Linked DNA regions of Pelodiscus sinensis. The main gene of each other region encodes a partner of the protein of the gene in region 2 in a complex. Links are inferred from orthologs where the notes say so. Each region holds a gene or a part of one and is shown on either strand. Other genes may lie near its edges. The genes, in order: LEP and LEPR.

Region 1 (11,159 bases), on a different chromosome or scaffold from region 2:
TCGCCAGGGCCACTGGGGACAGGTCAGCTGCAAAGGGATTCACTTTACTTCCAACCAGAGCACAGCAGAAATAAATACGCACGTCACAGAGTCGTAGCATCCCAGAGCTGGCGGAGACCGCGGGAGGTCACCACGTCCAGCCCCCCGCCCGCGGCAGGACCAGTCTGCCCCGCCGCGGCGCTTCCACCCGCCCCCTCCCTCTGGGCGGACGGGACCTTCCGAGTGAGCCAGGAGGGCCGCTAACCGCCCCTCTCCTCCCGCAGCGGGGGGCTGCCCCTAGACAGGCAGCTGGGTCAGTGCAGCCCAGTTCAAACTTAAATTAAACACAAAATCGAAAGAATAAATAAATCCTGGAAACTTGCTCCCGGCCCCTCTGCTCCTGCCGGCAGTTCAGACTGTCCGCGAAGCACCGGGCAGTAAGGGCTCCGTGCGCTGCTCCTTGCTCAACCGGCAGTGCGGAGGCCTGGCTCGAGTCCGGGGCTCCGGTATCGTCGTGCCGCGCTGGCGGGGGAAGGACGCTGCCGGTCGGCGCAGCGCAGGGGGGCCTGGCTCTGGCGCCGTGCGGCGGCCGGTCCCCGCTAGCAGTGCTGGAGGCGATCCAGGCGCTTGAGGATGCCGTGCAGGTTCTGCCGGAGCCGGGCCAGCGCCACCACGTCCACGGTGTACGAGGAGGTGGCCAGCAGCTCCGTCAGGTTGCCCAGCACGTCGAGCGCCGGGGCCCTGTGGATGGCGCAGCCCAGCTGGGACGCCAGGGTCTGGAGCAGGCTCCGGAGGTTCTCGAGGTCGTTGGCGATTTGGGCTAACGGCCCGTTTTCCGAGGCCAGGCTGGGGAGGAGCCTCTGGAACAGCTGCAAGGTCTGGTCCATGGAGTCCAGGCTCCCCAGGGGCTGCTCTCCCGGGATGAAGTCCAGGCCGTTGATCTTCAGGTTGAGAGGCAAGGGCTGGGCGGAGGAGAAGGCTGGTCAGCCAGGCAGGTGCAGGGCTGCTCTCTCCTCTCCCCGGGGCTGCCCCCCCACTAGGCCAGACAGCTCCTCTTGGGGCCAAGCTGGGACGGGTGGGCCCCCTTTCCAGGGGCTGTCGGCAGCACAGAGCAGGGAGGGGAGGGGCCCATGACCGGGGGGGGGGGGTGGTTCCATCTGCATCCTGAGGCCCCCTGCCCTGGATTCACCCAGAGTTACCCTGGGGGGTCCCAAGCCAGCGGGGGAGGGGGCAAGGTCATGGCCAGTATCCCCTGTAAGCTGGGTGCTTGGGGGCCACTGAGGATTATCACAGTTGGCAGCAGGTGGTGCACCCCCTCACATGCCTCGCTGCGCAGAACAAAATGTATTCCGCACGCAGGAGAGGACACATGACAGGGGACGGTGCCATGGCATGCAAGGGGCACAGGCAGGAGAAAGTTTGCAGCCCGTGGCAGCGAGCGACTCACTTTGGGGCGGGAGGAAGGACGGGCCCTGGAGCTGGCTCCATCCTCTAGCTGAGCCACTAGGCTGTCCTGGGCACCTGCTAAGCGGCTCGCGGAGCCAGGGGCTGCGAGGTGCAGGTCCGTAGGGCTCAGGGTGGGCGTGCGAGATGCACACGGAGCCCTGCAGAGCAAGGAGCTAGCGGCCCCGTGCGGGAGCGGACAAGGGGCCCAAAGCAGCAGGGGGTGCTAGCCGCCAGGACGGGACACCCAGCAGCCCGGCCTCGGAGGTTAGCTGTCCCAGGGAGGACTGTGGATTTAAGGCTCCCTCCAATTTGTCCGCCTCTGTGCGGAATAACGTTTGCTGTGTGCACCAAGGCAAGAGCAGATGTGCACCACCGATAGAAACACATGCAACCTGCTCTGGAGGCCCGTGGGTGCTCGGCTCATCAGCTGGGTGGCACCTCAATCTCTCCCTGCCACCGGCATCCCCCTGGCTTCTCTAGGCTGGCGCCGATTTGCACCTTCTGGGGGCTGGCCCGGGAGTCTGCTGGCGCCCGCGGGTGACACGCAGCCCCGTGGCCCCCGCTGGCTCGCCCCTCCTACCTGCTGCTCCGGGATGCGGGCGATGATGATCCGCGTGAGGGCTTTGGCGTCGGCCTTGACCTTGTCGATTTTCACCGGCCGGCTGGAGAAGAGGGGCAGCCAGACCCCGACCCAGAGCAGCCCGCAGAGCGGCAAGGGGGGACGCTGCATCTTCCTCCTGCCTTCTTCGCCGAGGCCCTGCGTGGGCGAGAGCGGGGCTGTGAAACACCCTCGTGTTTGTGTGACACACCCCTCGAACCCACGTCCAGGGGAGAGACGAACAAGGGAGCTCTACCGCCTTAGCTGAGCGCCAGCCGGCGTCATCGCTCCAGGGCTACGTCTAGACTGCGGCTTTTGCCGCAAGAGCCTACGCAAAGGAAGTGTGGATTAGCATATCGCCACGCTTCATTTGCATAATTCATTCAAGCGCTTTTTGTGCACTTTGGGGGGAGGGGGCTGTGCAACCCCCCCATTTTGCACAAGATTTTTATGCCTTTGCGGGAGAGAACATAAGAACATAAGAACGGCCGGACGGGGTCAGCCCGAAGGTCCGTCTAGCCCAGTGTCCTGTCTGCCGACAGTGGCCAGCACCAGGTGCCCCAGAGGGGGTGGACCGAAGACAATGATCAGGGGGGAGGTTAGTGCCTATGAGATAATGTTATTAGCTATCTGCTTCCCCAATTATCACCCCAATATCATCATCTCATAGACACTAACCCCCCCCCACCCGCTTCTGTTCTAAAATCTGGTTTGTCAATTTCACATGTGTTCATTTTTTTGATTGTCTCCCTTTGGTATATATGGTCGTGCCAATTTTCTTCCACTATTTGATCTGAGGAAGTGGGTCTGGCCCACGAAAGCTCCTCACCTAATACACCATCTTGGTAGCCTGTAAAGTGCTGCACAGTCCTGTCTTTTGTTTCAGCTACGCCAGACTAACACGGCTACATCTCTATTACTATTTTTAAACTCTGTTCTAGTCCTGGCCTTCACAGCCTCCTCTGGCAAGGAGTTCCACAGGTTAACTACACGCTGTGTGAAGAAGAACTTTCTTTTATTCGTTTTAAACCTGCTCCCCATTCATTTCATTTGGTGTCCTCTAGTCCTTCTATTATAGGAACGAGTAAATCACTTTTCTTTATTCACCCTCTCCACACCACTCATGCTTTTATAGACCTCTATCATATCCCCCCTCAGTCTCCTCTTTTCTAAGCTGAAAAGGCCCAGTCGCTTTAGCCTCTCTTCATATGGGACCTGTCCCAAACCCCGAAGAGGCCCAAGGATCTTGCGCAAAACGGGGGTTTTGCACAATAAAACCCCCTCCACGCTGCTTCTTTTTGTGCAAAAAGAAACGGCAGGAAATATGCTAATGAGATTGCGACTCATGCTAACGAGTCCCTCATTAGCATATTTTGTGCCGAGAAAACTCGTGGTGTAGACGTAGCCAACCTGCCCAGGCTCCTACAGGAAGCTCCAGAGGATCCAGGTTCAAATCCGCCCGGTGGCAGTTTGCAGCCGCCCTCGGCTCTGCCTGCGCAAGGAAGAAGCAGCCCCTGGAATCTGCCTCGGGGATATTTAGCCCGTGACGCGGTTGGAGCCAGGGCCCAGACCTGCCCCCCAGGGGCCCAGGAGCTCTCCCTGGAGGTAAAGGCCTGATGTTTCCAGCTGCATGGCCCGGGCACCTGCCGCCCTCCCCGGGGGTCGGACCGAGCTGGGAGCAGTTTGGCTGAGCTGCCCCAGGGCGGGGCGGGTGCTGCATGGACCCAGGCTCTGCCCCACAGAGCCCCGGGCTGGCGAGCCGGCAGGTGGGCCGGGCGGGGCGGGTGCTGCATGGACCCAGGCTCTGCCCCACAGAGCCCCGGGCTGGCGAGCCGGCAGGTGGGCCGGGCGGGGCGGGTGCTGCATGGACCCAGGCTCTGCCCCACAGAGCCCCGGGCTGGCGAGCCGGCAGGTGGGCCGGGCGGGGCGGGTGCTGCATGGACCCAGGCTCTGCCCCACAGAGCCCCGGGCTGGCGAGCCGGCAGGTGGGCCGGGCGGGGAGCCGCTGGGGAGCGGTCGGACTGAACGGCTTCCCCGCAGGCGACAGGCTGTGTCAGCCCCAGGAACGGAGCCAAGGGCTCCTGGCTCTAGGCTGCTCCGTCAGCCGCAAGCTCGCCCCTCCCGGCAGGGCCTTGGCCTGCAGAGCAGCTCCCTGCCGCTCCCCACGTCCTCAGGTCACCCTGCGGCTCACTTGGCAGCCGGCTGGCGCCCTTCCCCGGCTCCAGGGAAGGGGCGGGCTGGCCGGGGGCGCATGCGGCTCCGCACCCTCTGTGCTGTGTCAAGGTTTCGCTTTGAGATTCCTGGCAGGGCTCCCTGCCTCGGGCCGGGATTCCCAGCAGAGCTGCCTGGGGCCGGGCCCTGGACTGCTCCCCGTGCCCCCCGGCTAGTCCCTCCTGCCCTGCAGAAAAGCCCCCCTGCCCCGGGCAAGCCAGAGCCAGCCGCGCCCCCCAGGCAAGCCAGAGCCAGCCGCGCCCCCCAGGCAAGCCAGAGCCAGCCCTGCCCCCCAGGCAAGCTAGAGCCAGCCGCGCCCCCCAGGCAAGCTAGAGCCAGCCCTGCCCCAGGGGTTCCTTAGGGTTCCTGGGTGCACAGTGCGGCCAGTTTCCCCTGTCCCTGCCGGGGGGTTCATGGCAGCGCTGCCTACTGGTGGGCGCAGGGCGGTGCCCGGGAGGGGCTGGTGATGAGCTGAAGCGGGAGGCGGGACGGAGGCCAGAGGAGCCGCGAGGCCTTGCAGCGCTCTGGGGCCGAGGTCAGAGGCCCGCGTGACTCTAGCTGGGTTCTGGCACAGTGCCCATCCCCCTTGCCTCTGATCCTGGCACAGTGCCCATCCCCCTTGCCTCTGATCCTGGCACAGTGCCCATCCCCCTTGCCTCTGATCCGCTCGCTGCCGTGCGGGAGGCGGGCAGCCCAGAGGCGTCCGGCCTTGCTAACGGGTCACGTTACGGTGCCCAGTTATGGGGGCAGAGAATTGTCCGGCTGGGCTGACGCGCTGCCCGCTGCCCAGGCAGCCAGCCCCGGCCCCCCGCACCAGCCCTGCCCGTCCGCATGTGGCAGGGAATGTTCCCCTCAGCGGCTCGCCAGGCCCCGGCCCCTCCGCCGAGCCCCTGTGCCAGGCACAGCCCACGGGCACCCGCCCTGGCGCAGGAACAGAGAGGGGAGCGGGCTGGTCCTTCCTGCCGGGACCCAGCGGGACGGGTCAGAGGCTCGGGGGGCGCGTGCCCCTCCAGCCGCCTGGCGTTACCCGGGAAGGGGGCCGGGGGCCTGCCCGGAGCTGTGAGCAAGACCCGGCCTGGGAGACCCCCGAGGGGCAGCGAGGGACACGGGTGAGAACTCAGGACCGGTCGGTTTGCGCCCATGACTCTTTGGGCCCCCCCCACCTGGGTGCAGTTTCACACGGGCTGGGTAGCACCTCGGGGTGGTTTGGCAGGGCTGGGACACCCGAGCGCCCAGAGGGAGCTGCCCCTCCCCCCCGCTGCACCCCCTGGGCCTTGGGCTGAGCTAGCACCAGCCCCCCCCCCCCAGCACATCAAGAGAGGACTGTGGCTCTGCTGGCATCACGCCAGCCCCAGGCCCCTGGGCACTCTTCGCCTCCCCTCCCCCCACTGCCTCAGTTTCCCTGACGCCTTTCTCCCGTTCTCACCTGCTTCTTTGCTTTGGGCTGCTCTCTCCTCAGCCCCCCCTCCCCAGGATGCCCCTGTCTAGCTGGGCTCACAGGACTCCTCCTCTCCTCTCCCCCCCTCCGAGAGGGGCAAAGCCCCCCCCCCCGCCCCGCTTCGCACAACACTGCCACCTGGCGCTGTCCCTCCCACTCACCTCCGAGCATCAGCCCCAGTTACCAGCTGGGGAAACTGAGGCACGGAGCGCGTCCGGGACCGGCAGAGCCAGGCGGGGACCTCATCTGCCCCCAGCCCCCGCCCCACTCGCGGGGCCGCGGTCCCCGCCCCCCCGCGCCCCGAGGGGCTCTTCCCAGTCCGCGCCGGGGCAGAGGCGCGGGGCTCCGGCCGGGACAGGACGGGAAGGGCTCCCCCCACCTTACCTCCCGGCTCGCTTCCCGCCGCGCCGCTGGCCCCATGTCGGGCTGGGCCGGCTTATATAGCGCCGCGGCGGGATTGCTCAAGGGTTACTCATCCCCCCGGCTCCGGCTCCGGCTCCGGCTCCCCCCGGGCCGGGCCGGGCCGCGCCGCGGGTCTTGGGCGCCCCTTCCAGCCTCCCGCTCCGGGACTAGCGCCCCCCACCCCAGCCGTGCGCCCCCTCCGCCCTTCCCCCCCCACTCACCCCCCCTCCTCCGCCGCCCCTCCCCCACCCCTCCCCGCTCCAGCCACCCCCCCATTCAAGGGATGAATGAAGGAGCCGGAGAAGGGGGTAGCAGGGAGGGGCAAAGCCGGAGATCGAGACAGAGCTGCCCCCGGGACTCCAGACCGACCAGGCTGGGAAGAGCTTCCCCCCGGCCTCCCCAAACTGAGCGAGTGGGCAACACGACGGCCAATGAAGGGGCGGTGGGTCAGTGGAAGTGACGCACACGCCCAGCGAGAGGGGCTAATGCAGCCCCAGGACCCCGGGGAGAGCCCGGAGTCGCGCCGACACTTCTCGGAAGGCGTGTGCGCAGCGGCCGGCGCAAAGCAAACAGGATGTTTGGAGTCATTAAACAAGCGCTAGAGAATGAGGGAGACTAGTTTATTGCCCTTCCGTAAAGCCACGGGACGCCCACATCTGGAGCACAGGGCAGATGTGCTCGCCTCCTCTCCGAAAAGATAGGCCGGCGCTAGAAAAGGTTCAGAGAAGAGCAACTGAACTGATTTGGGGTTTGGAAGGGTCCCATGTGAGGAGAGGTTAAAGCGACTGGGACTTTGCAGCTTGGAAAAGAGGAGACTGAGGGGGGATAGGAGAGAGGTCCGTAAAATCCTGAGTGGTGGGCAGAGGGTGAATACAGAAAAGTTCTTCATTAGTTCTCATAATAGAATAACTAGAGGACACCAAATGAAATGAATGGGCAGCAGGTTTAAAACTAATAAAAGGAAGTTTTTCTTCACTCAGCGCACAGTCAATCTGTGGAACTCCTCGCCAGAGGATGCGGTGAAGACCAGAACTTTAACAGGGTTCAAAAAAGAGCTAGATAGATTAATGGAGGTTAAGTCCATGAGTGGCTACTTGCCAGGATGGGTAAGGAAGGGGGTCCCTGGCCTCTGTTGGTCAGAGGGTGGAGATGGACAACAGGAGAGAAATCCCTTGATCTATCCCTCATCCTTCCACCCCTCACCCATCCAACCATCCCGCCACCTCAGCTACCCATCCATCCCCCACCCCCCTCCACCGCCCCCATCTACCCCACCCCCATTTCTCCATCCAAACCCGCTTGTCCAACCAGGCACCTACCCCCATGCCCCCATCTGTCGGGCTGTCTGTCGCAGGGCCCGGCCCGGCTGCGAGGGAGGGAGTGAGTCCTTTCCGCACTCTGGTGGGACAGAAACGCCGGGCCCCTCCCCTGCTCGCGGCTGGGCGAATCCGTATGAAGGGCTCTTCCTGCCGGGACTTTGGACTCCACTTTGACCGGGTCCGAGTTCCGTGCCCCAGCCGCGTTTCCCGCGCTGGATTGGCGACGCGGGACGCACCACGGGGCAGGGGCGCGCGGGGCTGCGGAGGAGCCCGGCACCTTCGGAACATGGGGCCGATCTGGCCTGCACCAAAGACACCCCGAGCTCGCTCTGGCCCCGAGCAACCGCTCCCCCCTTGTCCCGGAAACTGCCTGCTAGCGGCAGGGCCCTTCCAGCCTGGCTGAGCTGGCTTCCCTGCATTCGGCACCCAGAGCCGCGCAATATTTTCAAAAGCTGCGCGGGGGGGAGGGGAGGGTAAGGATGGGGGGGCTAGCGGAGGGGTGAAGAGAACAGCAGCCGGAGTGGGGGGCTCTGAGCTCCTTTCCATTACGGAAGGCAGCGACTGGCGCAAGGAAAGTCCGAGCTGCGCGGGAAGCTGCCCGGCAGGCGGAGGTTGTTAAAACAATTCAAAATTCCAGCTGGCGCATTTGCCGCAGCGGCGCCGCTCTCGGGGGGACAGAGGCAGCGTTGGGTCCAATCCCTGGGCGGTGTTTTAGGGGCTGCTTCCCCTCCCCAGGACTCCCTGCAGCCCTTCCTATCCTCAGCCCCTCCCCCTCTGCCCCAGTTCCCTTTCGGCTCCGGTGAGCCAGAAAACAGGCAACGGGCGCTGAAAATAGCCCAGCGTTCCGCTGCGTTTTCAAAATGTGCCTGGGGGGGTGGGGGGGGGCAGGGACCCCAGAGCCGCCTCCCAGGGCCACAGGCCCCCTGTGCACACAGGCCCAGTTAACTCCCCTTCCTACTGGGCACCGCTGCCCTCGAGCATGCGCCAGCCTGTTCCCCTGGCCTGCCACGTACAGGTCTGTCGCGGGGGGGTCTCCATGCTCAGAGCTGTAGCCCCCCCGCCGGGGTGTGCCGGGGAGTTTACAGGATTGGATCACCCGGGAACTCGCAGAGCAGCTCGGGGGCTTTGGTGCGCGACCTCGCAGGCCTGGGGAAGGCTGAATAGAACCAGACGCCCAGAACACTAGGACTGGCAGGGACCTCGAGAGCCGCCGGGTCCAGTCCCCTGCCCTGAAACCAGCAGGCCAGCTTGTCGCAATTACCGCGGGCACCAGGCTCGCCCCCGGTCGCCGTTGCTGCTGGCCGCTGGCCCTGGCGCTGTGCAACAGGAGCTGGGGCTGGGCAGACCTTTGGGCCGCACTGATGCTCTTATTACCTACAGCCCCTAAGTCCCTGGCAGAGTCCGGGCGCTGTTCCTGGGGCTGCGGCCTGGCACCGTGCCCCCGGGCTCAGGCAGCGGCTCTCCGCCTGAGTCGCTCTCAGCATAGAGCCGATGCTGCGGCTGGGGTGTCGCGGCGCCCTGCCACGTCCAGCCCGGGGTGGGTTGTTCTCCCCTGCAGCCTGTGCCAGGCTTGGCAAGGCCAGGGACCGGCTGGCCACCTTCCTGCACTGAGCAGGGAGCTCCCGGGGCCATGAACCAGGGCAGAGCTGGGGGAGCGTCCCGTGGGCCGTGGCAGGGAGCTCTCGGAAGCGCTGGGCCGGGGGCAGGGTGTGACTCCTGTGGCGGGAAAGGGAAGGGAACGTCACTCAGGAGCGCGTTTCCTCTGGCAGGAAATAGCAGTTGGCTGCGTCCCCAGGGCCGCAGGGTTATTCGCCGGCTGCCAGCCCGGCGCCCGGTGCCTCTTTCCAGCTCCTCCTCGGCTGTGTCAACCGGGTGGGGCCGGCCCTGGCAGGTTTTCTCAGTTGAGCAACCCCCCTCACACGAGTAATCCCAGTGACGTCAGCGGGCCGGGCCTGGCGCTCATGTGCCCCCAACTCCCCCGCCCGGGCGCCCCCCCGGCGGCACAGGCCTGAGCACGCCTCCGCCGGGGGCTTTACTGGACCACGTCAGGCGGCTGGCCGTGTGCCCGCGGGCACCCCCTTCCCCAGGCCGAGTCACGCCCAGCTCCAGCCCAGGGGTCTGCCCCCCGCCCCTGCTCTCCGGCACAGCCCTCGGTCACTCTAGGCAGGCCCCGCTGGGCCCCACGGCTTGGTGCACCCCAAAGGGGCGTTGCCAAAACCTGCCCTTGGGTGGCCTGGCAGAGTGAGCGCTGGCCGGGCCCAGCGACGTTTGTCTGGAAAATTGCCTGGTTCCAGCCACAAAAAATGCCCCTCCCCCAGACTTTTGCCTTTCCCCCTCCCTGTGGTGTGCACAGAAAGCCGGCGCGGACTCTGCCGTGTGCTCTGGGCACAGGCCCAGCATCTGCCGCTATCCCCAGCGCCGGCCCCGACGGCTCTGCTCAGCATGTTGGGATCTCTGCTGCCCAGGGTGCCTGGAGGGGCCGTTGTTAAAGGGACAGTCCTGTATTTAAGCCCACCTGCAGGCGTCCCCACTTTAAAAAAGGGGGGGGAGGTTGCTTCATATTTTCTGCCTCTCCCCTCCCATCAGTACTGGCGGGTCCTGGTGCTGGCCGGATCCGGGTCGCCAGATGCCCACCCAGTTAGAGGGGGATCCTGTGGCCGATGCTGGGGGGGAGCGTGCCAGGCTGGCTGCTCCCCTTGCTGGTCTGTCAGTGCCACCCCTGCTGAGGCCGGCTCTTGGCCTCCTCCGCCCGGCTCCCAGCCATCACTGGCGCTGGCTGGTTACACGTCACCTCCGCTGCCCATGCATCAGCCCTTCACCTGCTTCCCTCTCGCTGGCCTCCCCCTGTGGTGCCCATTCACCCCTCAGCCCTGCTGCCCCTCCACCCCCCTGCCACCCCCCAGCAGGGTGCACCATGATCCTGGCACTGGGCGGAGAAGCAGCCCCTGTCCGATCATTCAGCTCTTTGGAGAAGGTTCAGAAAAGGGCAACAAACATGACGAGGGGTTTGAATGGGTCCCGTAGGAAGAGAGATTGAAAAGACGGGGACTTTTCAGCTTAGAAAAGAGACTAAGGGGGGATAGGATAGAGGTTTATAAAATCATGTCTGATGTGGAAAGAGTGAATAAGGGAAAGTTATTTCCTTATTCCCACACTATAAGAACTAGGGGTCACCAAATGAAATGAATAGGCAGCAGGTTTAAAACAAACAAAGGAAGTTTTTCTTTACTCAGCACACAGTCAACTTGTGGAACTCCTCACCAGAGGATGTGGCGAACGCTAGAATTTTAACAGGGTTCAGAAATGAGCTAGATCAATTCATGGCGGTTGTGTCCATGAATGGCTAGTAGCCATGCTGGATAGAAATGGTGTCCCTGGCCTCTGTTTGTGGAAGGCTGGAGAGGGATGGCACGAGACAAATGGCTTGGTCACTGTCTTCAGTCCATCCCCTCCAGGGTCCCTGGTGTTGGCTGCTGTCGGCAGACAGGATACTGGGCTAGATGGACCTTTGGTCTGACCCAGGACGGCCATTGTAAGCTCAGGGTCGGGGGTCTCAGTGGACCACCTTGATTTTCATGCCAACCTGCTCCTGGGTGGCCAGGCTGGCAGCTCTCCTGCCCTAGACGGCCTCTTTCCTGTGTCTGGTGCAGAGGTCGTGGATGAGGTCCACGATGTCTGCACTAGACCAGGCGGGCGCCCACCTCTTGCGGACCTGGGCAGGCTCCCGGGAGCTGCCAGCCTGGTCCTGGGAAGAGGGGGAGGGCTG
Region 2 (11,159 bases):
GACCTGATCAGAGGCAGTGCTGAAAATACAGGATAAAATCTTGACCTTGCTTATCTCAATTGGACTTTCAGCATTACCTTTCCCACTACGTACATTGTGCACGAGGGCAAGAGGAATAAACAACCATCTTTCAAATGACAGGATGCAAGTATAGACACAGTGGATGATAACATACCGTGGACCTGAAGGCAGGGCAAGATTCACTTTCTCAAGCTAAAAATCCATTCAAAATGTCTATGTCCTTATCTACATTTTATTCAGCATGCCTCTGCAGACCCAGTTCTATCATGACACTCACAAGAAGTTGGCCAACTAGTAAGTAAGTGCTAAAAGTAAGGGACAACTGAGGACAGTCATCTATATGACTAACAAAATGGATTTATATCATCAACACGTGACCATTCACCACTTCTATCTTTTGTCTGCCTTTCTACTTGGCACTCTTCACTCTCTCCAGGGCAAGAAATTTGCCTTCATTTAAGTTTGTACAGTGACCAGTACAATCCAGGCACAAATGGAAACAAGTGATAACAATAAGAAAATATTCAAAACCCAAAGAAAACACAATGTCCATTATTGACTCACTTTAAAGAGCTACACTAGAAACCTACTTGTTTGCTGAGGTGCTAAGATATTTACTTCTGAGGAAATAAATGTCTTTGTTTCAATGCCTGCTGTGTACAAAGAACAATCTGAGTGTGTTTCATTCCATAGGCAACAGAGCAAACTCTCTTCAGCCACCTGCACCAGAGAATTGGTTTCAGCAGTTCCATGCTCTCCAGGTGACCCAGGACTGCTCTCCACAACCCCAGAAGTCTCATTTGGTGACATGCAAGGGAACATAAAGCTTGATGCTGGAATCTGATGTACCATACAGTGAGAAACTGCCAGCTGAATAAAATCTGGAAATACAAAGATATAAAGAAGAAAATGAGTTACGCTACTTGCAACTATGAAAATAAACTAGCTGCTGTTCCAAGGAAACAAAGGTGCTTAAAAATATTAGACAAGAATCTCCAAGTGCCAGTCTCCTCTGAATTAGCATAGATTTATTCAATTAGGCTTCCAGATCTCACCCATATGCCTCATACCTGAATAAAGTTACCTTTGCTCATTTTTTATAATTACTGCATATAACATCACATTAGAAAAAAACAAAAACAAAGATAGGCCAACACGAGAAAAATCTATAGTTGTCTCCTGGTGTAAACTGCTGCAAATTAATTAGAATTAACACATTAAACAGGGATTGAAGTCAAAGGTGATGCATCAATTTAGGAGAAAATTTAGCCCTAAAGCTGAACACACACAAACTGTGAGGTCTGAAAATCCAGACTTGGGTCCACATTTTGCAGCTATCTTCTAAATTTTTAGAACCTGGATATGCCCAATTTTGGGGTGTTCATAAACTGAATTTTAATATTGTGGCTTAACTCTCTGTTAACTAATAATATATGTAGAAATATTTTGTCCTTGCTAACGAATATCATCATGTGAGTACAGAAACTGCATTAAAAATGTTATTTGTAGCATTTTCTAAAGACATGCAAAAGAAATTCTAGTGTTTATAATAATGTAAAAACCTACAGTGATAATATGTGAAATCCTGAATCAGGGTTGTCAGCCAGCAGTAAATTCACAGATAGTCCATAAAAAACGTGTGAAAATTGGACCTGTGCATAGAATCTGTAAAATCATGTAGATACTGTCTCCCCATTTCACAGAGCTGTCATGTGGTCAGGGCTCCTGGGGACGTAGAGTGACGTGATGCCATCACTTTGTCATCCCGTAGGAAAAGGTTTTTTTAATATATAGAGAGAGATATAAACTGTCAAGTCCTATGCAGGAAGGATTATTGGCTGTCAAAAAACATTATTAATACAAAGTTTGACAGTGTGACTGTTGCGATGTTTGATCACAAACTGCAGAACTTGGAGGATGCTGATGTGGCTAGTAGGCAAGTTAAACTAGCATAATAACTTTTCAATGTGTTTATTCATACATCACAACAGCCTACTATTCAGTTTTGTCCTTTTGAGCCATCTTTACATTATATAAGAATGTCCATAAAAAGTTTGGTTGTCCATAATTCTTTTCTATACTTTCCATAAAAACAGTTTTCTGCAGTTGGCAGCCTTGTCCTGGCTACACAGAAGTAATTGAAAGTTGTGTCAAGGGGCTTCAATGATGCCAAGATTTCATTTAAAATTATCAGATGTCTTTTCTTTCAGGTTTTGTTCATTGTAATAGTTTTTAAATGCTGCCACCATACACTTGTTTGTGATTTTACAAGACACTATTTACAATTGTTAAATCCATGTTTAATGTGTTTTACAAAAATGGCCAAGTAGATAAACAGTCCCAAAAGACTGATTTTATAGAAAATAATATCTAGTAAAAGGTGGTATTTTCTATTAAGGTTAGATGCCTTGAAAATAAAAACTGTATATAATGTAGGAACACATTTGTTATATTACATGGCTTCTGTTGGTAAATCAGAGACTGAAGTCTGCTAATAATACTTCTGATAAAGATAAATATGCCTCTTTGAATTAAAAAAAGCTTTAGTTATTGAAATTCATGTAACTGGCTTACAGGTATCCTTGTTTTTAGTGTAACATGCAGGAAATATTTACAGTTTATTACATAAAAATGTCTTGAGCCTAAACATCTTGTAAATGGATCCCACAATAACAAAAACAAGAGAGTATTTGTCTTTTGTCTTCACAAGCACAATCTGCTAGAATATTTACATAAACTGAATAGTAAACCACTGCAAAGTGAAAAATAGGTTTCTAGGTAAATTTATGCAAAAGTGACAAGGAGTCCTGTGGCATCTCATAGACTAAAAGATTTATTGGAGCACAAGCTTTCATGGGCAAAGACCCACTTCGTCAGATGCACGGCTACCCCTCTGATAGGTAAATTCATGTTATTCACATCAGTATCTGAAGTGTTCAGTTTCTTTGGATATACATATTTTATGATCAGCAGTACCCATAATGGTGTGTATTTTCTCTTGTTTAACAAGGCAGAGTCTGTGCCTTGTCAAACATCAGTGTCATTAAGTTCCCTGACTCCATGTAGAAAATTCAGTTAACTGAACAGAATATTAGTGCATTATCCATGATGCAAAAACAAATTGAGGGACATGACTATCTACGGGTCAGGATATACAACTAATATGCTGCCCATTTTACAGCTGGCACTGAAAGGGGATTTCAGTTTGTCTTATAGATATAGATATAGATATATATTAATTTTGAAGGACAAATCACACTGCAGAATCTCACAGGACAAACCAACCAAATCCCATCAGATCAATGTGCATGCCATTGCTACAATACCTTTTCAAGAAAGGTAAATGAAATGAATAAGCTACAATAAAATTGTAATAGTATTACTGAGCACAGGCTTGTGTATTTTATATTCCTCAATAAACACATGCTTTTTTCTATAAATCAGTAGACAGTAAGAATATTCACTTGTCACCGATATAGGAATTTATCTAGAGAACAGGTCTAGTATAAGAAGCAACAGTACAAGTAGAAATCTGCTGACCAGTGACTAGAGACAAACAACTCTATCTCCCAATTCAAGTCCCCTGAGCGCTCTAGTTGCCCAATTAAAAGACATTTCTATAAATGCAGGTAATTTTAAGATATGAATTAAATTGGGACAATGTAATGACCCATTTGATATTGAACAAATAAAGACATGAAAAAGCCTAAGAAAACCTGCTGCAAAGATTGGAGAGAAACAACTTTTGAAACAACATAGTGCATTGGATTTAAATATCTACTTTATCTTTCATCAACATCTTGGGAAATTTAAAAGGACAATTTGCCAACTAAACTAAAGTTACAAGTGAAATGAAATCTGTTCTACAGCATATACCAATATTAATGTGCATGAGAAAATTCATGCACATCTGATTTAATCTACTCTGTTTATTTCTTCTACATCAGAAAGGAAAAATGAAGTCCTCATATTTGAGCTATTATATTTACCATAAACTGATCACTCATTCCAACGATTCTGTATATGAAGTAGGGGGATATGTTTTTGCACTAAACCAAACCAACCAACTTCATGTGAAAGCCTCACTCCATTGAAGTCAATATGAGTTCTGTTCTGACTTCAGCGGGGTCCAGATTGCCCATAAAATTCTTATCTGTATGAATGCTAGTTATGGGAGCTGCACTAGTTTCTCTTGACTAACTATAATAAATGTATTACAGTTGCAGGTTTGTCAATCATTTTTTTATCAAAACTAGCTAATTAGATATTGATCAGCTATCACTTGCATTGTTATTTTCATCAGAAAGTTATTGTCCAGTCTGTAAGGTACTGTGCATCAAATGTTTCCATTGGAAATGAGGGCATTCAGCATCTTGCAGAATCAAGTTTTTACTTTGTCAAAGTCAATAGCTACAGAATATGTTCAGAAAAACCCACATTTTCAGTACAACTTACCCAAGTGCAGAAACACAGTCAAAAGTTTATGCAAATACATCTTGTTCTGAAAAAAACAACCAAAATGTAATAAATTAAGAAACAATGGAAGAGATTGTTTCCATTTCAGAAGTACATCTATTATTCTGTTTGATCTTGGCATCCTTTAAAAGCCTATTCTTTAAATGTTGTTAACCTATGAAAATATAGATTCCTTAAACATACCATGGCTCTGTATAATTCTTAAAATTAAAAATAATGGTGTGCTTTATTAATTTGATGTTTGCTCTTTTACAGGAAGGAAGACAGAACAGACAGCATCACAGCAGAAAAGAAACACTGCTTAGAGTATTGATTAAATATCAAACAGGCAATCTCTCACCATTACACTTAGGAAGCGCTCTTCATTCCTTATGCATTTCCTGACTCACAAGCAAATTATTTCCTATTCTTCCCCTTCAAGATATTGTGAATCTGCACAGTTAAAATGACAGAGATAGCAATTTCCAATATACAGCACACGTTTGATCCCCATGATTTCTGTAATTCGTTTTCAGTCAGAAAGAAGTCATTTAAACAGTGGAAAGTTAAGCACGACAATTAAAACATAATTGCTTAGTACAATTTCAGATTTTTGCCATGTAGTCTCTCAAATTCTACTCACACCCAATTACAAAAGATGTTTGTAATTATGATCAATGTATCTACAATATCTGCAGAGGTATGAATTATTCAGCAGAGGTCTTGGGTTTTGAGTTTTACATTCATACAACTTGTCTGTAGGGCTGAGCTAATAATTGACCTTTTAGTTCAGCAACTGAACTAAAAAATCTGAAGGCAATGGGCTTGTTTCAAACTAAAATTGAGATTCTCAATGAAACAGAAAGGAGAGAGAGAGAGAGAGAGAGAGAGAGAGAGATTGCATTCAACAACCCATTTCAAATATCATTTCAAAATGGTTTATTTTGTCATTTTCAAAATGAACTTCAACCATTCTTTCTTGTTTCCAGGCTTCTTTCAGCTGCAGTGTCTTGCTACATTCAGCCTGAATTGGTGAACAGTTTCAGTGGCTCATCAAAAGCATTTTTCAGTAAGTTTACTATTCAGTCCTGAATTTTCTCCCAACAAAATTCACCCTCCTGTGCTTGATCATACTTTCCCTCATACTGGACTGAGAACCCTACCTGCAATGGAATCTATAAACCCAGGATCAGAAATCATGATTTGGGCACGTCCCCAAAGACATCCATAACCACTATATACTACAGAGCAAAACCTCATTCTGAATCTGAATCCTTCCCATGCCATCAGGTGTTGCTTACGGCATAAACAAGGCTCCCATAGGGGATCTCGTTATCTAGGGGCCTTATAACCATGACTACATGGAGCCACTAGTAATTCATTTCCTGCATAAAGCAGGATACTGAGAAGTGCACCGACCACAGGGACTAGTGCAACCAATCTGCTGCCAAATTTGTGGCCTGAAGAGAGGGAACCTGCATGTGGGAAGAGAAGAGAGCAGAATTCCTTCCCAATTCCTACAAACCTCCAGTGCACTGCTTGGCAAGGATACTCAAAAGGTCTGGGACTCAAACAAGAATTCTAAATAGCAGCAATGCTACAGAAAGTTATCTCCCAATATGGAACATAAAACTTTATTATAATAAAGAAACCAGTATTATTGCTAAAGCTAGCACTGGTCTTCTTTGACCTCACTGTGGAGCTTCTAGGTAAAACTTCCTGCAGCCGCTACTACCTCCTGTCTACCTGTTACAGACTTAAAGACATGTCACATTTGCATATTTTTCCAACCTTTTATCCTATGTAATCAACAAACCCTCAATCTTCAACAGGAGTTCAATTCTATAGACTGAATTACAGATACAAATGAGTCGCTGGCTTTGTCAGTCATCCCAGACAGGTCATCTGCTGACTTTGAAAAGATTTAGTCCAATTAATTTTACTTGGAATATCAAATTCCCGAAAGAAGTAAACTCCAACACAACAGATTCAGAACAAGTCAACGGGATTATCTCCCTTCATTAAGGCTATGGTGCCAGTACTCTTCCCAGTAAGGGCATTTCTTCTATACTGTATTACATAGAGTTATGGTTTGCAGATACAGACAAGAGCTAAAGACGTACAATTTAAAACTAGATAAAGGAAAAATTAAAGTACATTTTGGGCTACATTCCAAGATCTCTTAGATTTACTATTTCACTGCCTCTACTCAGTATGAAGATTTACTCTTCTGGTTGGCAGTGTTTTTCTAATCTGTCAAACCATAAGCAGCTGAGCTGGGTTTACTCTGCAGAGCTATAGGGGAAATCCCATATCAGTCAGAGTTAACACAGAGTCATATTAACATAGAACACATAACTACCAACACTTCTCCCTCCAGTAGTCCATTCTGTAATAGATGGACACGAAGTCTGGAAGTAATAAACAAATTACAGCTCTTGCTCTAAATGTGTCCAGAATTACCATAGACCTATAATGAAAATTAACCATTCTTTTCTGTATTTCTAACAGACAAAATTGGGAGGTGATGTTTTACATGACAGAACCACTGACTACTACTAATATTACACAATGATTATATAGGTTGAACCTCCCTGGTCCAGCATCCGCAGGACCTGAGTGGTGCTAGATGAGGGTTAGTAGACCACCTGATTTTCAGTGTGAAAATTTAGCTCCTGATGCACAGAAAACATACTTTCAGAAATCAGATCCAGGCATGGTTCAGTTGGGCTGTGGGAGGAGGGAGCAGCACAGGAGCCGGTGGGCGGCTCAGTTGGAGTACAAGGGGGTCCCGGGAACTGGCATGCAGCTCAGTTGGGCTGCGGGGGGGAGCCAGGAAATCAGACATGTACTGCACTGAAGTACACTGATTATTGTTACTCTCCATATTTTTTAGATATTATCACAATTGTGCTATAGAATTATCTCACCTTGACTCTGGCATATATCTTCATTGCCTGGAAGGAAATCCCACAGCCAAGAGAACAGGTCTTAACCCAAGTCCTTAGAGCTTTCCCTTGAGAACTGTCAGTCACAGAGTTCCCATCAATAACTGCCATAGAGAAAAGACTGTGACTTAAGTATCGGAGGGTATGTCTACACTACAAAGTTAGTTCGAACTAACGGACGTTAGTTCGAACTAACTTTAATAGGTGCTACACTAGCGCTCCGCTAGTTCGAATTTGAATCGAACTAGCGGAGCGCTTAGTTCGAACTAGGTAAACCTCATTTTACGAGGACTAACGCCTAGTTCGAACTAGCTAGTTTGAACTAAGGGCTGTGTAGCCCTTTAGTTCGAACTAGTGGGAGGCTAGCCCTCCCCAGGTTTCCCTGGTGGCCACTCTGGCCAACACCAGGGAAACTCTATGCCCCCCTCCCGGCCCCGGACCCCTTAAAGGGGCACGGGCTGGCTACGGTGCCCGTGCCAGGTGCAAGCCTGCCAGCACCCAGCTAGCAGACCCTGCACCTGGCACGGCACAGAGCCACCCATCCGATGCCCCCCAGCCCACCCCCTCTTGCCGGGACCAGGCTGGCGGCTCCCGGGAGTTTGCCCTGGACCGCAAGAGGCGGGCACCTTCCTGGGCTAGTGCGGACATCGTGGACCTCGTCCACGATCTCCGCACTAGGCACAGGAAAGTGGCCGTCTAGGGCAGGAGAGCTGCCAGCCTGGCCACCCAGGACCAGGTGTGCATGAAAATCAAGGGGGTCCTCTGAGACCCCCGACCCTGAGCCCTGAGCTTACAATGGCCGTCCTGGGTCAGACCAAAGGTCCATCTAGCCCAGTAGCCTGTCTGCCAACAGCGGCCAACCCTAGGGACCCTGGAGGGGATGGACCAAAGACAATGACCAAGCCATTTGTCTCGTGCCATCCCTCTCCAGCCTTCCACAAACTTTGGGCAGGGACACCACTCCTACCCTCTGGCTAATAGGACTCCATGGACCCAACCTCCATGACTTGATCTCACTTCCCTTTAAACTCTGTTCTAGTTGTAGCCTTCACAGCCTCCTGCAGCAAGGAGTTCCACGGGTTAACTATTTGCTTTGTCAAGAACAACAACTTTCTCTTACTAGTTTGAAGCCTGCTACCCATTCCTTTCCTTTGGTGTCCTCTAGTCCTTCTTTATGGGAACTCAGGAAGAACTTTTCTGAATGCACCCTCTCCACCCAACCCCTGCTTTTAGAGACCTCTATCCTGTCCCCCCTCCGTCTCCTCTTTTCTAAGCTGAACAGTCCCAGTCTCTGTAGCCTTTCTTCATCTGGGACCTGTTCCCAACCCCTGATCATGTTAGTTGCCCTCCCTTCTCCCAGCCTTTCTCTTCCCCTCTCCCACCTCCTTTTCCCAGTCTCCCCCAGTTTTTTTTCAATAAAGACAGAGTCAATGTTGGAAGAAACGTTATCTTTATTTTGTACATCAATAAGAAGGGGGGCTAAGGAAGGGTAAGTGGAAGGAGGTGAGGGAGGAATGGGGTACGAGCCCCCGATGGGGAGGACTGGGCTGGCTCTGCGGGCTTCTGGGGGTGGAAGCTCTCCTGCAGCCCCCCAATTACTCCCTCTCCCCAGATGGCAGCCTGCGGCAAGTGCAGCCGGGCTGATGGCCGAGTGGTGTGATGTGTCCAGTGTGGGCACTCAGGGCACTCCAAGCCAAAACTTCTTTGCAAGCGGGGCACCCCTTAGAACTGTGTGTCCGGGGTGGGCGTCGGGACCCTTTAAGCGCAGCCCTCGGCTAGCCTGAGACAGCATCTCCATGCTCTAAGTCCTCCTTTTATGCCCTGCCGGCACTGCTTCCGGCCATCCTTAAGCCCTGTTCAGAGTCCACTCAATGTGGACTTGCTAGTTCGAACTAGCAAAACGCTAGTTCGAACTAGTTTTTAGTTCTAGATGCGTTAGTTCGAACTAGCTTAGTTCAAATTAACTAATTCGAACTAAGTTAGTTCGAACTAGCACTGTAGTGTAGACGTACCCAGAGCTATCCCATAAAAGGGCTTTAAGATCAGTGCCACTATTTTGGGTTGAATTCAGTTCTCATGGTACTACTTCAAAGTAGATCATGGTGCATCAGTGAGGTATGTACTCTCATTTGTCCTTGTCAGTACATAGACCACACCTTGATGTACTAGGTGCAGCTTCCATAATGCTTTCACTGTAAAACCTAAGGAGGCTGAAGGTGGTCCCTACAAGTAGATCTATAACCAAGAAGAAGTATCATACTTGTCTGGTTAGGAAGATGGCAAAGGAATTTCTGGTCACTGCTTCCATGTGAGTAAGTAGTAATAAATCAAATAGAACTTGGACATCAGGTATTAATATGACCACCAGTGGACAGATGCCCCGGATAGAAAATGAGGTCACTGCTACAGTGAGTTCCTTAGAATGCTTGTTTTTTCCTACTGCCATCACATCTGTCTAATGTGGATTTAGTTGGGGCAGCTTCTTTTTATCTTTGTTCCAATAACATTCAGAAACTGGAAAACAGTCCCATACACATTTGTAAAGCAAACCAAAGTTAGAGGTCATCTGCACATTCACTGAACCTCTCCACAGCTCTGATATAGGGTAGGAAAAAAGCACCAACAGGACTAAGCCCTTTGAGACTTCATAGAGGGGCACCCTTAGGGTAAGGTGGCAGCTGCTGCTCCTGTTGTGTTGGATTGGGCTCTGAGTTTAGTGCCTTTTACCCCACCAAAGTGTGAACAATGACTTTAAAAAAAATGAGTTAAGGGAGAAAATGCAAGTCTTCTAACAATAGTTGCAGAAAATAGGAAGCAAAATATAAGCACTCTGGGATAAGTAGGTTTGTTGCTTCCTTACTTCTAAATGAAGAGCATTTTTAGGTTAATGCCACAGTCCCGAAGTTGTATTTTTTATTGCAGGGGTGGGAAACCTTTTTTGGGTCAGGGACCACCGACCCACAGAAAAAATCAGTCAGGGGCCACACACAAAAAGCCCTCACTGATGTGGGGCCCAACTGAGAAGCAGAAAGACACTCTTCATATTCCCCTCAAACACCAGAGCCTGGGGGGCCCAGCGTAATAGATTTTGTGTTCTCCAGTCTCATGGTGGGGCAGCACAGAGGCTGGAGCACCATCACAGGCTCCCCAATGCAGGGGGGGGCAAGGTGGAGCCTTGGGGGCTGTATTCAGGCAAGCCAGGGCCGCATCTGGCCCTTGAGCGTGAGGTTTCCCACCCTTGTTTATTGTCTCGTATATAATTCTAATCACAGTGGGGGTGGGGAGAGAAAGCCGGGTGAAATCAAAGAAAGGATGTGGACAAATTCGAGAAAATCCAGTGAAAGGCAACAAAAATGATTAGAGGGCTGGGATGCATGACTTATGGAAAGAAGCTGAGGGATTTGGGCTTATTTAGTCTTCAGAGAGAAAAGAGTGAGGGTAGATTTGATAGCAGCCTTCAACTACCTGAAAGGAGAGAGGAGGTTCCAAAGAGGTTGGAGCTAGCCTGGTCTTAAGTAGCAGTGAGGGAAGTCTAGGTTGGTTATTAGGAAAAACTATTTACTAGGAGGGAGGTGAAGCACTGCAATGGGTTACACCTAGGGAGCTGGTGGAACCAAGGCCAGGTTGGGAGGGATAATTTAGTTGTGTTGGTCCTACTTTGAGCAGAGGGTTGGATTAGATGACCTCCTAAGGTTCTCTTCCTTCCCTAACCTTCTATGATTCTACAGTTCTTCC

The links.
Region 1: the proteins of LEPR (region 2) and LEP are in contact, whole or in part, in a crystal structure (PDB 7Z3R), measured with the Mus musculus proteins. The link is inferred for Pelodiscus sinensis from reciprocal best matches to the Homo sapiens genes LEPR and LEP. Residues at the interface, in NP_666258.2 of Mus musculus: Tyr439, Leu440, Thr441, Arg466, Ser468, Leu469, Tyr470, Gln499, Pro500, Ile501, Phe502, Leu503, Leu504, Ser505, Val560, Phe561, Glu563, Asn564; in NP_032519.1 of Mus musculus: Lys26, Val27, Asp30, Thr33, Leu34, Lys36, Thr37, Thr40, Arg41, Gln92, Gln96, Asn99, Asp100, Glu102, Asn103, Asp106, Leu107, Leu110.

Annotation. Positions count from the first base shown.
Region 1 is NC_134711.1:15,441-26,599, forward strand, and holds the start of LEP (leptin), read right to left. Parts: upstream 6,169-11,159; 5' UTR 6,093-6,168; coding exon 6,057-6,092; intron 2,183-6,056; coding exon 2,006-2,182; intron 942-2,005; coding exon 579-941; 3' UTR 1-578. UniProt on the Homo sapiens protein: Key player in the regulation of energy balance and body weight control. Once released into the circulation, has central and peripheral effects by binding LEPR, found in many tissues, which results in the activation of several major signaling pathways.
Region 2 is NC_134719.1:18,300,274-18,311,432, reverse strand, and holds the start of LEPR (leptin receptor), read right to left. Parts: upstream 5,117-11,159; 5' UTR 4,841-5,116; coding exon 4,838-4,840; intron 4,523-4,837; coding exon 4,477-4,522; intron 903-4,476; coding exon 612-902; intron 1-611. UniProt on the Homo sapiens protein: Receptor for hormone LEP/leptin. On ligand binding, mediates LEP central and peripheral effects through the activation of different signaling pathways such as JAK2/STAT3 and MAPK cascade/FOS.